Linked DNA regions of Tamandua tetradactyla. The protein of the gene in region 1 interacts with the protein of each later gene in a pairwise test. Links are inferred from orthologs where the notes say so. Each region holds a gene or a part of one and is shown on either strand. Other genes may lie near its edges.

The links.
Region 2: the proteins of CIBAR1 (region 1) and CBY1 interact in binary tests that used the Homo sapiens proteins (3 or more experiments, as listed by UniProt). The two-hybrid records come from large-scale screens. The link is inferred for Tamandua tetradactyla from reciprocal best matches to the Homo sapiens genes CIBAR1 and CBY1.

What each region holds. Positions count from the first base shown.
Region 1 is NC_135332.1:137,014,720-137,022,468, reverse strand, and holds the start of CIBAR1 (CBY1-interacting BAR domain-containing protein 1), read right to left. Parts: upstream 3,003-7,749; 5' UTR 2,895-3,002; coding exon 2,869-2,894; intron 2,271-2,868; coding exon 2,036-2,270; intron 1-2,035. UniProt on the Homo sapiens protein: Plays a critical role in regulating mitochondrial ultrastructure and function by maintaining the integrity of mitochondrial morphology, particularly the organization of cristae.
Region 2 is NC_135333.1:31,105,694-31,112,782, reverse strand, and holds the start of CBY1 (protein chibby homolog 1), read right to left. Parts: upstream 3,024-7,089; 5' UTR 1,989-3,023; coding exon 1,821-1,988; intron 1-1,820. Other genes in the region: protein FAM227A, read left to right, coding at 7,059-7,089. UniProt on the Homo sapiens protein: Inhibits the Wnt/Wingless pathway by binding to CTNNB1/beta-catenin and inhibiting beta-catenin-mediated transcriptional activation through competition with TCF/LEF transcription factors.

The DNA of each region.
Region 1 (7,749 bases):
GCACAAAAGCATCCGCTGTGCAATGACAAGAAAATGTCTCAGGTTTTTGAGGAGCTCATCTCTGCCACACCATCATTTCTGCAATACTTTTTTACCTTAAAACAGTAGCTTTTGGGACAAGTTCTAAGACATCTAAAATTTTAATACAGTACCATTTTCTGTGTTCTGTACAGTACTGGATACTCAACATACATTATCTCTAAAACGAAATCGCTGTTTTCCAGATAAGAAAATTGAAATTGAGAGATACAGCTTATTGGAAATATTTAAAATTGTTCACAATCCTCAAAAGCAAAAATGGTTAGGGATCACTGCATTAGCTGCAATTTTTCTGAGAAGCCATTTGTAAATTATCAAAGCCTAAAGAACAAGATAAATGGTCTCAGTGTTCAAACTGTATGGTTGACCTCTCTTCTCTCCCTAGCACACATTAATTCCTTCTTTTATCTAGAATTATTTCTTAAACATTACCACTTTTTATCACATTTTGAGTAATTATTTTTACTAACAGCACTAGTGTAAAGCACTAACAAAACAGATTAAAAGAAATGACCAGTATATAAATATAGTATAACTCTCTCGAACATTGAAATTTTCTCAGAACAGTAATACAAGATGACACATTTGAACGTGTATTATTTTTATAGCAGGGAAAGGCTTTTTTTTGATAATACATGCATAATCAATGAATAATTTTCATTTCATACTGATTTTTGTTTAGTTCCTGTAAACAAAACATAAATGAATGTTTCATTTTCAAAGATTTAGAAAAGAAAAAAAAAAAAAAGAGGTCCCATCAAGCATATAATTAGTAATCCTAAAATCAAAACTATTACTATTAAAAGGATAGTTTAGTCTATACCATTCCTAATAATCCATAGACTGAATTCAGTGTAAGGATTATCCAAATCTTTTTTCTGTTCTCCTTTTTGTTGCCTACCTTTTGTTCATTTCATTGTTCATTAGCACCTCCACCATTTGGTAAGCAAGGGAAATAAAAGGAGAACAAATGTAAATCAATTCACTTTGCTATTTGAGAAATAGCATAAAGGTTTTCTAGAAAAGGACACTGAATATATTGGCAAAACAGGAGTTTTAAGATTATTTGTGGGTATAAATTTTTGAAACATTAAACCCCCAGTTTTCAAGTATAACTGAGAAGTATTTATCACAGAAGAAACATCACAAGAACCGAACATTTTTCCAAAAAGAACTCCAAATGCAATTTTTAATCAATTTCTGAGTTTTTCTAGTTCTGGATGAGCAGTAATCATGGGTTCAAAGATTATTATACATTCTATTTCTTTTGATAATTGAAATTTCTTTTTTAGGATTTAAAAAAGGACCAAAAGCATTGATGAGTAAGGTACAAAAAAGCAAAGCAGATCTGAGCAACTCTGACAAGTTAACTTATGTCTTGAAACCAAAAATATTAGTAAAAGCTCTTTTTCATTACTGAAGGGGAAAAATGGGCTTTTAGAAAGAAAAAACCATTATACGTCTACTCCTCCCCCCCCTTCCCAAAAGAGCAAAAACCACAAAGAGGGCCTCAGCTAATCACTGGATATAAATCAGCATTTTTTTTGTTGCTGTTTTTGTTAAATTTTTCAGAGCCTGGAAGCTGCAATGATTTCTTGTCCATTTATGATTTATTCACACACAATGCCATTTCCAACATCTTCCACTTCCAGTCATATGTACATGCAAAGGAGACACAAGTCATGCTTCTTTTCTTCCCATGGGCACTTTATATACTATCTCCTATAAAAAATTATCCCTTGGCCAAAAACTGGCAAATGAAGTGGGGGAAATTCAAGACTTCAAGACACACTAAAGTGGTGATTTAAAAAGCAGTAAAAGAAAACACAGAAAGCTTTCCTTTAATAGGTACACACAATTGTTACAGACACGAAAATCTGTACATTTATCATCGCGTGTTTGTTCACCACTGAGGATACACAGAGGTCTTCATGGTTCCTTCATCCATTACTTCATGCGTCATTCTTAACAATGATGCTGTGACCTTGCTCCATACCTCTGCTTGTCGATAATCCTGAAGTTTGGCAAACTCATCAGCAAAGTTTTTCAGGCCCTGCTTTAAATTTGGGGTCTCAGTAGAGGCATACCCGTTGATTTCATTCACCAAGAGGTCTGCTTTGTCTCTCAATCTGGCAGTTTTCCGCACATAAGCAGCAAAGATTTGGCACAGCTCTCCAAAATGCTTTTCCACATTTGTGACAGCATCTTGCAGTTGTCTGGTTTGAGCGTCCCTAGCGAAAAAGGTGACACACAAAAAAACCCAAAACATTTTTGTTAGAGATGAGGCAGACTCACTGTCATGTGCATTTAATAAACGAACATTGCCGGGATACTTTGCAGCTTTGAAGGCGCAAAACCATCAACAATCCCACCATCTCCCGGGGCAGATCCTCCTCCTCCAGGACCCCATTCCCAGCCTGGCCACGATATCCGGCCAATGTAGGCGGACAGAGAAGCTTGAAAGGACGCACGGGACCTACCAGCTACCGGGGGAGGACTATTGAGGCTGGGAAGGCAGCTCCGCGCTACACGGCCTGGCTTCCCGACGAGGTACAGGTAGCCGCCTGCCTTCCAGGCTGCTGCACAGCTGGGACCAAAGGCCCAGAGCTTGGGTTGGGGCAGCGGCCCACCCATCCCTGGACTCCCCTTGGGCGCCGGGGCTCGCTCCAGCACAGGGAAATAGGCCTCAGGGCGCAGAGGCGGCGGCGGTCCAGCCTCCGGCCCAAGGCTGGAATTCGGCGCGGAGGCCCCACGGAAAGAGGCCCCACTTCCCCCACCCAAGTCCTCGCGTGTGGTAGGCCCTAGGCAGCTGGGCCCCAGGGCCGTTACCGGTTTTCCAGGCTGCGCCTTAACATCTTGCCTCGCGCATCACCGGGAACCCGGTGCTGGGGCCCGACAACCGACGTTCCGAGGCGCCCGAGCGCGCGCCAGGGCGCAGGCCGACGTCGCAGGGAGCTGGAGAGCCCGCCCCGTGCACCTCCGCGTTGGCCGGGGCGTTTCTATGGAAACGCAGCGCGCGCCCCCGCGCTCAACCCTAGCGCCAGACCTAGACTGTCTGGGGCTCGAGAAGGGCAGCGCGGGAAAGCAATGGAGCTGTCACGCCCATCCCTGCAGATCCGCCCGCGCCCTCACCCGCGGATGCGGCTCCCGGCGAAGTTCCTTAAAAACATCGCGGAAGCCCCTCCCGCTGGAGCTTTCTTGCCACGCCTGAACGAAGAGCCGCGTTTACCTCAAATGCCCATTGGTTTCCAAATCCTTCCAGGTTGGACCGTAGCAAAAGAGAGAAAAAAAGACAACCGAGCAATAACCCCGAGGAAAACGTAGAACTAAAGGCGAAATAAAGGCCAGTCTATGCTTATGTTACATTTGGTCACATATGTGCAACTCTGAAAATGTCGGCTCTTGGAGGCTGCCTTTATAAGGGGAGCAAGTGCTTAATGCTTCATTTTAAAATTTTCATCTATTCAGCAGATATTTATTGAGCACCTACTTTGGGGGTAAAGATTATGTTAGACACTTGGAATAATACAGTGTTAAGAAGGGTCTCCAGCCGTGGAGAGCTTGAGAGTTTAATGGGACAACGGACACTTAATCCATAATACCCTTAGATGAATAATAAGAGACATTTCTTTCTCCTTTGAACACTCAAGCTGGTTTCTACTTGTGTTTGCTCGTTCAAGTAAACACCTGTTTAGCTTTAGGACTAAATTCAAGCTTTATCTACATCAAGAAGCCTTCCTGGACTTCCTACCTTTCCCTAATCAAGTCAGCTTTTGGGGCCCCTTCTTCTGTGATATATTTTTATTGGTTTTCTGTCTCTGCTACTCTAGACTTTGCACTCTTTGAGGCAGAGAAAATAGTCTTGCTTTTGTATTCCTTTGTGCTTTGTTCTGCTCAAAACAAGATTTTTTTTTGATGGGGACAAATTTATGCCCCTAGTCCTTTGTTACCTCTCTTATGGAACTTACTCTGTCATGTTTCAACGTGTATCTATCTTCTGCTCTTGCATTCAATTGGCAAGCTATCTATTGAAGTCTGGTATCTTCCAGTATTGTGCTGGGCTCTGAATGTGCAGTGGTAGGCAAAAAGTAGAATAGTCTTTGCCCTTATAGAGTGCACTGTGTGGGAGAGGAGGAAGGAAGGACTAAGAGGAGGTAAACAATGTATTTAATTAAACTATTCAACAAATACATGTGAAATATTAAGTAAATTTTGTGCAACTGTATCGTTTCTGCTGTGTAACAAACCACCACGACTTCAGTGGCTTAAAACAATCCTTTTTCTAGCATCAGGATTCTCAGTCCATTGGCTGGTTCTTCTACTTCTTGTCTGCCCAGCTGACAGGTAGCTGCTGGTAGCTGACTGATCTAGGATGGCTTAACACACTTCTAGGGGTTGGCAAGCTGTCATCAGGGAAAACAAGAGCAATGTGTTTCTTATTCTCCAAGGGCTGGCTAGACTTCTTCAAATGGTTGCAGGGTTCCAAAATAACAAGAGAAGACAAACCCCACTGCATAAGTACCCTTCAGATCTCTGCCTGGGTCACATTTGCTGATATCCTGTCCATCAAAGCAAGTCACATGGCTGAGCCTAGGGGCTCGTGAGTAGAAGCAGGGGAAGAATTAGTGGATACTTTTGCAATCGAACACAATTTGCTCTACCAAAACTACTAAGGAGTAGTACATGGCACCAGCAGAGCATCTACTGAGTATAGTGGTTTGGCAACCTAGTTGGGGAAGGGCTTATTGAGGAAGTGACCGGTGAGCTGAGATCTGAAGAATGAGAAGGCGTTAACTAGGTGAAGAGGGAGAGAAGAACAGTCCAGAGACATCACAGGCAAATTGAGCCCCCAAACCCACCCCCATCTCTCCCTTACTTCCATATCTCAGAAAATGGCAATACCCTCCTAGCCGCACTGGCGATTCCCATCTGCTCTACCTCCAGAATTTTGAATCATTCCTTCTTCATTTCTTTTATATCATCATAATCCAAACCACTGTCATCATTAGCCCTTAGCGCAAAAGCCTCCTTACTGGTGCCCTCACATCCACATACTGTAATGCACAATCAAACATGTAAATCAGATCATACCAATCTTCCAGAATTTCCTTGTGCACTTAAAATTTAAAATCCTTATCCTGGCTGTTAAAGGGCCTTACCTCACATCTGTATTCCTGGCTACTTTCTCTTGCTCCCCCATAGTGCTTTAGCCACACTTTTTCTTTCTAGTCTTAGCATATATCAAAATTATTTCAGAGTCAGTTTTTTTTTCTTTTTGTAGGCTGTATGGTGGGGTCACATTTCGTTATTTTTACATGTGAGTATCATGTTATTGTTGCACCAGTTGTTGAATTTTTAAAATTTGTTTGTTTGGTTTTTGTTTGTGTTTGCTTATTTGTTTGTTTTTTTGGGAAGAGCATGGACTGGGAATCGAATCCAGGTCTCCCACACGACAGGTGGGAATTCTACCACTGAACTACCCTTGCATCCCCTTCAGAGTCAGTTTTGTGTTTGTTATTCTCTCTGTCCAGAATGCTCCTACAATGATTTTCACATGGCAGGCTACTTACACTAGGGGATTCTGCTTAAAAGGCACCTACAAACTGAGGGCTTTTCCTGATCACCCAGTTGTTACATAGCCCCCTGTTTTGTTTTCTTTGAAACATATATTACTCTCTGAGTTTAACCTACTTGTTTGTATGTTATTTCTCTCTTCCACGACTAGAATATATTCTCCATGAAACGAGGCACTTTCTGTTTGGTCACGTTATGTTCCCAGTATCACCACAGTGCTTGATCCAGAGTAGGTACTCAACAAATAGATGAGTTTACAAATGAGCATATGAATGAATGCGTTAAAGCCCCATAGCAAAGGGAGCATGGTGTTTGTGATAAATGAAAGACCTGTGAGGTCGGAGTGGAGGGGTGGGCTGGGTATTGAGGTATGAGACATAGTTGGAAAGTCAGTAGGGCCAGGTCATATAGGGGCTATGTTAAGGCGTTTGGGGCTTCATCTTAAAATCATTGTGAAGCTATTGATGTAATAGAGCCAGAACTATCTTATTCATTATGGAATTCTTGAAACTATTAGTTCAATGCCTCATAAATAGCATATTAATTCTTGAATAAATACGTAATACATTCCATCAGTCTTAATCCAATATATGGCATGGATATTCCCTTGGAAACTTCTACGGAGATGCACATTTTTTAATCTTTCTGTCTTATCAACAGACATTTCAAATCTGTATCAGCACAATTGTTCCCAAGTCTTTATTACTTGGCCGTATTTCCTGTCTTTTGGGCTTATACTGTCTGCTAGAGTGCATCATCTCATAGAAGAGGTGCTGGGGGTAGGGAGGTCAGTGCCTTGGCCAAGGTCACATGATGAGATGGTAGGAGGGCTGGAATTAAATCCTTTGTCTTCCTTCTCCAATGTGCTTCCCACTGTATCAGGGTCTCATTTCATCTCTCTCTCTTTCTCTCTCATGAATCATGACTTTTTGCAAAGTTCTTAAACAAATATAAATGAAAATCACCTTGACAAAAAAATGCCTTTTAGTACTTTTGGAAGGAGGTTATGTGTCAGAGGATCAGTCAATCACTGGGTATAGTATTATAAAATTCTCTGGAAATTATTGTTGCGGGTTACATATGGCATATGTAGTGATTTTTATTAAACTGTTGCATCATATTTGTATATGTATTGTGGAAGAAAATGGTCTTATTTTGTATAACATTGAATGACTTCCAATTTATTTATGATGCTTTAAGAGGTCCATTGGAGCAAAAGACTTACATTAGTTCCATTCACTCACTTATTCAGTAATCACTTATTGAGAACTTGTCATGTACCACGTGCCTTATTTTCCATTTCTGTTCGCAAGTGCTCTGAGTTAGGTGGTAGGACACAGCTAAACATACAATGCAGTCTTATTTCTTTGGGACTTAAAGGGGATTTGATATAGTTTTAACTAGATTATTTTAATTTAAATTATATTGTAATTTTACTGGCCTGAGCCCCCCCATCCCACCAACTTTAGAAATGAAGAAAGATATTAAATTACCTAACATGGTGTAGTGTATATATGGGCTAACAGTGAGTTTATGCCTAAGCAATATAGCTTCAAATGTAGCTGTTTCAAATAACCTAAGCCAATTGTTTTAATGATGATACATAGAAATAATGCTTCTTTCCATCCAGCAAAAGATTTACTTTTTTGTATGGTTTTACTAATTTTTTGCTCTTTAAAGATTCAATATTTGAAGGGTTGTTAAGTACTCCCTCTAGTGGTTAATTTAGTACTTAAGGTTATTTGGTCAAATTGGAAGTCAAGGAGATATAATGAAACCAGCCCTAGACTCCTATTTTTTTTTTAATGGCTGTTTTTAAAGTAGAAATCACCTATAACTAGTTTTCATCTTAAGTAATAGGGAGGGAGTATAATTAAGCACATGGGCTTTGACGGCTCTAATTTCACAGCCTGTATTCAAAGCCTTATCCCATTACTGTTTCAAGCTTTATCAATGCATCAGAATCACCTGGAAGGCCTTTAAACTATGGATTGCTGGGCTCAAGCCCCAGAGTTTTTGATTCAGGAGGGCTGGAGTGAGACCCAAGAATGTGTATTTTTTTAGCCAATTCTCAAGTGATACTGATACTGCTGGTCTCAGGTGATGTTGATACCAATTTGAGGACCCTAGACTCCT
Region 2 (7,089 bases), on another chromosome or scaffold:
TTTTGTTTCTTATTTTTTAATTAATAAATTAAAAAAAAGATAATGCATAATAATTGGCAAGCTATATATCCAACAAGAACATGAAAAAAAAACTTCTATGCTGTTTTCAGTGATGTGGAAATTAGTTTCACTAAAAATAATGATAAAAGTTTAGAAGGCCCTTTGGGGCTTTTATAATATAAAACAAAGAAGTATATATATAAAATGATTTGCAAATAAATTTTTAAAAATGGGTATAAAGATATTGGAGGATGTTTCCTCCTGATATTTCACAGGTAGGTGTATATATGTAAATAAAAACTGTTTGGGCCTGGGGACCACACCACAGGCCTTGGGCAAACCAGAATGTCTCCAGCTTAGTTGTAGAGGGGCAAGGGGTGGGGTCCAGGATGTTGAGGGTTTTGAAGCTGTGCGACCACTCATCCAAAACACAATGGCATGTTTCTGCTAGAGAAGAGAAAAAGGTGATAATGTGGAAAAGGGAAGAGAATTAATCTTAAATCTATAAAGGACAGATAACAGTGAAACAGAGGAATAACGAGGAAGAAAGATTTTACCCCAAAGAAGAAAAGGGAAAGTCACCAAAAATTAATGTAATTTCCTATGTACCCTCCATGAGTTGGATCCTATATTGGAATAGTTCATATATTTCTTATATTCCTTGCAGCAACCCTGCAAGGTAGGTAGGTATTTTTCCACCCATAATAAAGATAGGAAAGTAGAGCTTGGATAAATTTTTTTTCAACTTGTATCGATTTATTAAATTAGTATATTTCTATGATAAACACTAGTCACGACCTAAGGTTCATTACTGCTGTGATTATGGTCACAAATTAGAGACATTTTGCTTATCCCTACTGGCATAAATAAAATCAACAAGTACCTTTTGGCACTTCATAACTTAAAATTCTGAAAAGTTGAGATCGGGGCTTACAATTTGCTATTTAAGTGACCAGGTATGGTCTTGACAGTAAAGCCACCATCAAGAGCTGCATTAAGAACTTCATCTAAGCAGCTTGCTGTGACAAAAAATCTTGTGGGCTCAGATAATTTAACCAATTTGCCTAAGATCCACAGCTAGTGAGTAAAGGATCTAAGCAAGACTATCTGACTCCTAAACTCATTCTAATTCCTAAGTGTAATACCACCCCTAAAGAATTTTTACTTTCAGAGTACCCTGGAAAAAAAGATGAGAATGGTTGTATCAGCAGGAGGTACAACAACCCTCTGCCCCCACTCCCTTCCTCCAAGAAGTATGCAAGCAAGGGTAAAAGACTTCATGTTATGCTAAGTATCAGAATTTGTACTGTTTAATTCTGAAATTCCCTGATCAGTTAGCTAATCTATTAAATTGCCCTTATTTTAATAATTTGCGGGGCACATTTAAAAAGAAGCATTTTCGTCCATCACGTTGGAAAAAATTTAAAAGATGCATAATATCCAATGCTGGTGAGGGTAAAGGTGTACAGAGAAGAGTTAATCTAGCAGATCTCTAGAATGGTCTTAGAAAGGCCTGCTTGCAAGCTGGGACTTTCGGTGACATCTAGGAACTGGGATTTCAGGAGCATTCCCATCATTCCCAAAACTGATGAGAGTGGCTCAGTGTGCCTAAACTGTTCGTGTAAATAATGCGGTTTATGCTGAATACCTGCCTTCCTTCTGGGGGTCCAGAATCTTGGTACATGCCAGGCAGAGTGTTCTAGTTTGCTAGCTGCCGGAATGCACACACCAGAGACGGATTGGCTTTTAATAAAAGGGGATTTATTTTGTTGGTTCTTCAGAGGAAAGGCAGCTGACTTTCCACTGAGGTTCTTTCTTACGTGGAAGGTACAAGATGGTCTCTGCTGGTCTTCTCTCCAGGCCCCTGGGTTCCAACAACTTTCCTCGGGGTGACTTCTTTCTGCATCTCCAAAGGCCTGGGCTGAGCTGCTAAGTGCTGAGATGAGGAATGCCGAGCTGCTTAGCTGTGCTACGTTGGGATCTCTCATTTAAGCACCAGCCAATTCAGTCAAACATCACTCATAGCAGCAGACTCGCCTCCTAGCCGACTGCAGATGTAATCAGCAACAGATGAGGTTCATGTACCATTGGCTTATGTCCTCAGCAACAAGACTAGGTATGCTCACCTGGCCAAGTTGACAACTGAATCTAACTAACACACAGAGGGTGCCTATGTGACTAACCCCTGGTGAAAACTCTAGGTACTGAGTCTCTAATGAGCTTTCGTGGTACACCACATTTCTGTCATACTTTGACACATTTGTATCACAACCAGACATAAGAATTAAGCATGTCCTGTGTGACTCACTGGGAGAGAACTCTTGGGAGCTTGTGTCTGGTTTCTTCAGGACTTTGCCCAATGTGCCTCTTCCCTTTTCTGATTTTGACTTGTATCCTTTCACTGTGATAAACCATAGCCATGAGTATAACTATATGCTGAATCCTGTGAATCACAGGAATCACAGAACTAAGGGATGGTCTTGGGGACCCCTGACACAGTGATGAAAAAGATACTTCCATTTACCATCAGTGAAAATAAAAAATGTTGTAATTCTTTTGAAGGCAATTAGAAAAAACCGGCAAAATTTTAAATGTGCATATACTTTTTGGCCAGCAAATCCAATTTCTAGAAATTTATCCTCCAGAAACATTTGCACAAGTTCAAACAAATTTATTACCTTGTTGGCAGTAGTGAAAAATGACAAACAATCCAAAATGTTTACCAGTGTTGGTGTGGACAAATACATTGTGGTAAACATTCTTAAAATAGAATACTAAACAGCCTTTAAAACCAATAAGATAGCTCTATGTTGACTGACCTGAAAAGTTCTCCAACACATGCTCTAACATTAAGATAGGATACGAAAGAACAATGTGGATAGTAGAATATCATTATAAGAAGTCAGTAAGAAAAAAGCAAGAATTTATATGTGTAAATAAAAAAAAGATCTGGAAGGATACACCAAAGTCTTCATAGTAGTTACACATGAGGAGAGTAGGATAACTGAATAAAAAAATGGTCAAACATTGGTAAAAATCATTTGGTATAATATAATGTAAAATAATTATATATTATGGAAATATACCTTTGCATTTAATATATTACAATGATAGTATAAATCATGTATATTTATGAAAAAAAGGATTTATGAAAAAAACAGTGCTTGCCTCTCCAAGTATCTGGAGACCTTTGAAGAAGGAAAATAAGCAAAGCAGTTCCTGTCAAAGCCCTAGATTATGCTAAAAGCATCATGTCTGACACATCATAAATCATGTTCTAGGCTGGGCTTTGCCCCTCAGGTACTTGCTAATCCTTGAACAAGTCATTTTATTTCTCTGGGTTTTAATTGGGGCACTTCACTCATGATCTCATTAGTTCTCCTAATCCTTAAACCAAGAATTGTCATCATATATTAAAAATGAGGAAAAGGAAGGTTTTGGGCTAGTTGCCTTCTAAGGCAGATCCAATAATTCACAAACAACTCTGGCTGCTATCCTGGAGCTCTGAGGCATTAATTAGTGTGGGCCTGAGGGACCCAGGCGCCCCTTTGGCCCACAGGAGCCTTCTTTGCAGTGAAACTTCCTAAGGAGAGAAGGTGCACTCTGAGGAAGTGAATGAAGGGAGGAGAATATATCTGGATTGCAATCATTGCTCTTTCACTCACCTCTAGGGTGACCCCAGCACTTACTCTCTCTGGGCCTCAGTTTCTTTATTTATAATCAGGGTTAATAACAGTACCTGACTCTCAGGTTGTTAGCACTTTAATGTGTATAAAAAGCAGTGGCATTTGAGCCTCACAACAACCCTGGAAGTAGTTCAAGTAAGTACGTCCCCATCTACTGATCAGAAAACTGAGGCTTCAAGAAGCTAAATAACCGGTCCCAAATCACGCTGTGGGAAAGTAGTGGATGTGGGCTTCGACCAAGGTCTACTCCTTGGTCATAATGATCACTAATCATTATGCAATGCTTTACAGTTTGCAATGGGCCCTAAAATACACCATCTTATGGTAATTCTAACAAGAAGGTTAAGGGACGAGTCTTCGGTTCTTATCAAATTCCCAAAAGGATACCAATATCTCAAAAAGTTAAGAGCCAGTCCAGCACATGCTGCGCAGGTAAAGCCACGAGGCACCCGGGGCTCTCGGACTCAACTAACGGTTCTTAACGTCCACATGCCCGATCACATTTACACGCAAGATCACCTTCTCTGCAGACCTAAGGAGTTGGAATTACAATCTCAAGTTAAAACCGAGGAAATAGACCTCGAGAAGGGAAGTGACAGGCCGAGGCTGAGCTCGGGCCCCGCCCCCTGCGCCGCGCCCCAGGCCCCTCCAGCTTCGCTGAGGCCCTGAGTAAAGTGCAGAACAGACTTTCCGCCCCTCTCTGGGGAGGCCAGGGCGTCCAGCCCTCTTCTGTCCCCTCAGGCTACCCAGGCCTCGCTGCCTCGGGCGGTACCGTGCTCGGGGACCTACCTGACGTGGTCCCAGAGCCCGAGGAGAAGCGGACCCCGACAGCTGGCCTGCAATGACCCTCCTAGGTGCCAGTCACCCACCACTACCGCGGCTCACGGCCGGCTCCATCACCCCCGGCTCCCAGAGCGCGCGCGCAGCCCCGCCCTGGACTCCACCACCTAATTAAAGGGGGTTCCCAGAGCGGGGTGGCCCCAAGGCGAGTCTACGCAAAACACCAGAACATCTTGCAAACTTCTCTCGATAAATTTCACAGTATATACACAGCAGCTTTCTTTTGAAATCATTTACATTCCCCATATTATAGGCCATGACGGAGAAATATTTTCATTCTCCCCCCAAAAACATTGGTCTAGTCCTGCACCTCTACGGCGGCCAGCTCATCACCGTGGTAACGGCGTCTCGCGGCGGCCACCGGGCTGGTTCGCGGTTCTATTGTGGGAAAGACGAAAGTGGCGGCTGCGCAGGGCGTTGCCTTGAGAACGCCAGGTCTCACAGTGGCAAAATGGTCTTCCTCCTCCTCCTCCCGACCACAAAGCAAAAGGCACTTTTCCCAAGTGGATGTAGGGGCAACGGGTGTCTGGCAACCCATCCAGAACTTTGCGAAGTCCCTCACTTTGCGTGGTCCCCTGAGGAACCTGTGGCGGAACCGGCCTCGAGGTAATCGGATTCCGTCCATGACTTCAGGTAAGACCTGTGGATGGACAAATGCTGGCCCGCCCTGTTTGCCTGGGGCAGCGCGCCGGATCCCGAGCAGGCCTTCCCCGCGCGTGAACTCTCATTCGCTTCTACAGGCAGGAGAAACTGAGGCCCAAGAACTGCTTCAAAGTCACACAGAGAACAAGGGTCTGAAAACTACTCGAGAATCAACTCCAGATCTCGTGAAGTACCGACAGCGTCTATTATTAGTTCCGTTAGATAAATGGAGAAACTCAGGACCATTTGTTCTTTCATTCAGGGGATATTTATTGGGTTCCTAATGAGGAACTGAACCCAGGGTGTCCTGGCTTCAAGGGCAAATCTATTCCAACGACACACACTGCTTTGGGAAGAGTAGTCCCGTCCTAGAAGGGTCTGGACCAGAGCTTTCCAATAGAAGCATAATGTCATAATATGAGCCATGTGTAATTTAAAAGTTTGTAGGAGCTACATTTTTTTAAAGACAAAAATACAAAAACAGGTGAAATTAATATGAATAATCATTTATTTAGCCCAATATGACCAAAATATTATTTTCAACATATAATTAATATTTTAAAATTAACTCTGCTTCGGTTTTAAAATTTATCTGCAGTCACACTAACCAAATTTCAAGCGTTCAGTTATCAGGTGTGGCCAGTGGCTACTGTATTAGTACAGATTTAGCCTCTTCCTGTTTTTGCAGCCTTGCTTCCCTCTGTTCTGATGTCATTCCACTCCCCTTTGTCTAATTAACTCCTTCTCTTCCATCAGCTCCTTGCTGTGAGACTAAGTCAAAACCCACTATTATGTCATCTTATAGCATGTGTACCTTCTTTGGAAGCAATGGTCGTAGTTATTGCATAGTCACTTATGTAATCATTTGATTATTGCATGTTTCCCCCATTAGACTTAAGCTCCTTTAGGGCAGGCATAATATCTGTTTTATCACACCATCCTGTTATCAGTATGAACACATATGATAGGCACTAAGTCAATATTCATTGAATGATGAGTTAATCTCGTCAATTCAGTCCCGAGTCTGCCTGACTCCAAAGTCAAACAGGGGGCATTTGAACATAAGCTACCTAAGTAGCTTTGGTGTTTATCCATCCACCTGACCCAAGCACAGTGCTTGCTTGGCACAGGGTCAATTTTCGATGAAAGTTAGTTTTCTCTCCCCTCTTCTTTCTGCCCCTAAGTAGTGATGGTAAACATTTACTTATCATATTTCAGAGAATACTTATTCTAACATAGTATGATAAAAAAATTCAGAAGGGAATGTGATGTGTATTTTAAACATTTTTCTAAAGACACATGTTCAATTTTCCCATTAGTCATAAGTAATGATATTAAACTAAAACAAGAGGATTTTCAGCAGGGTAGCCCTAAACCTAGTTTTTCAAAGAAAATGCTGTAGTTTTCCAGTTATGCTGGGGGATGGGTGGGAGAAAAGTGAGGAGCCCTAAAACGCACATACCTTCTCTTTCTCCACCTCTTACCTGTATGGCTAAATGCTAGGAGCAGGTGGGAAGAAAAAGTATTGAGCTGAGCCTAGGCCAGGCTTTCCTGTAACGCAACTGGCTTAGGACAGCCCAAGACAGATACCTTTTTTTCAGGCTAGGAAAGAGTGTGATAAGTGAGTGAATCTAAAACTGAATCAAATTTTGAGGGAACCTAGTCTTTAAAGAATATTTTGTCTAATACAAAAAGATGTAGTAGCAAACAATTCCAGTTCAATAATGTAAGTGCTGTAATAGAGAGATGACAGCACAATCCTGGACTTACACAGAGGAGAGGCAGCACTAATGGCCTTGAGGAATTCAAGATTTTCCAGAAGATAAATCAGTTGGCCTGAGAGTTGAATAGAAATTTATAATTTAAGGAAAGCAGCAGGGAAGGACATTTATGGCAGAGGAACAGCATGTGCAAAGGCAAA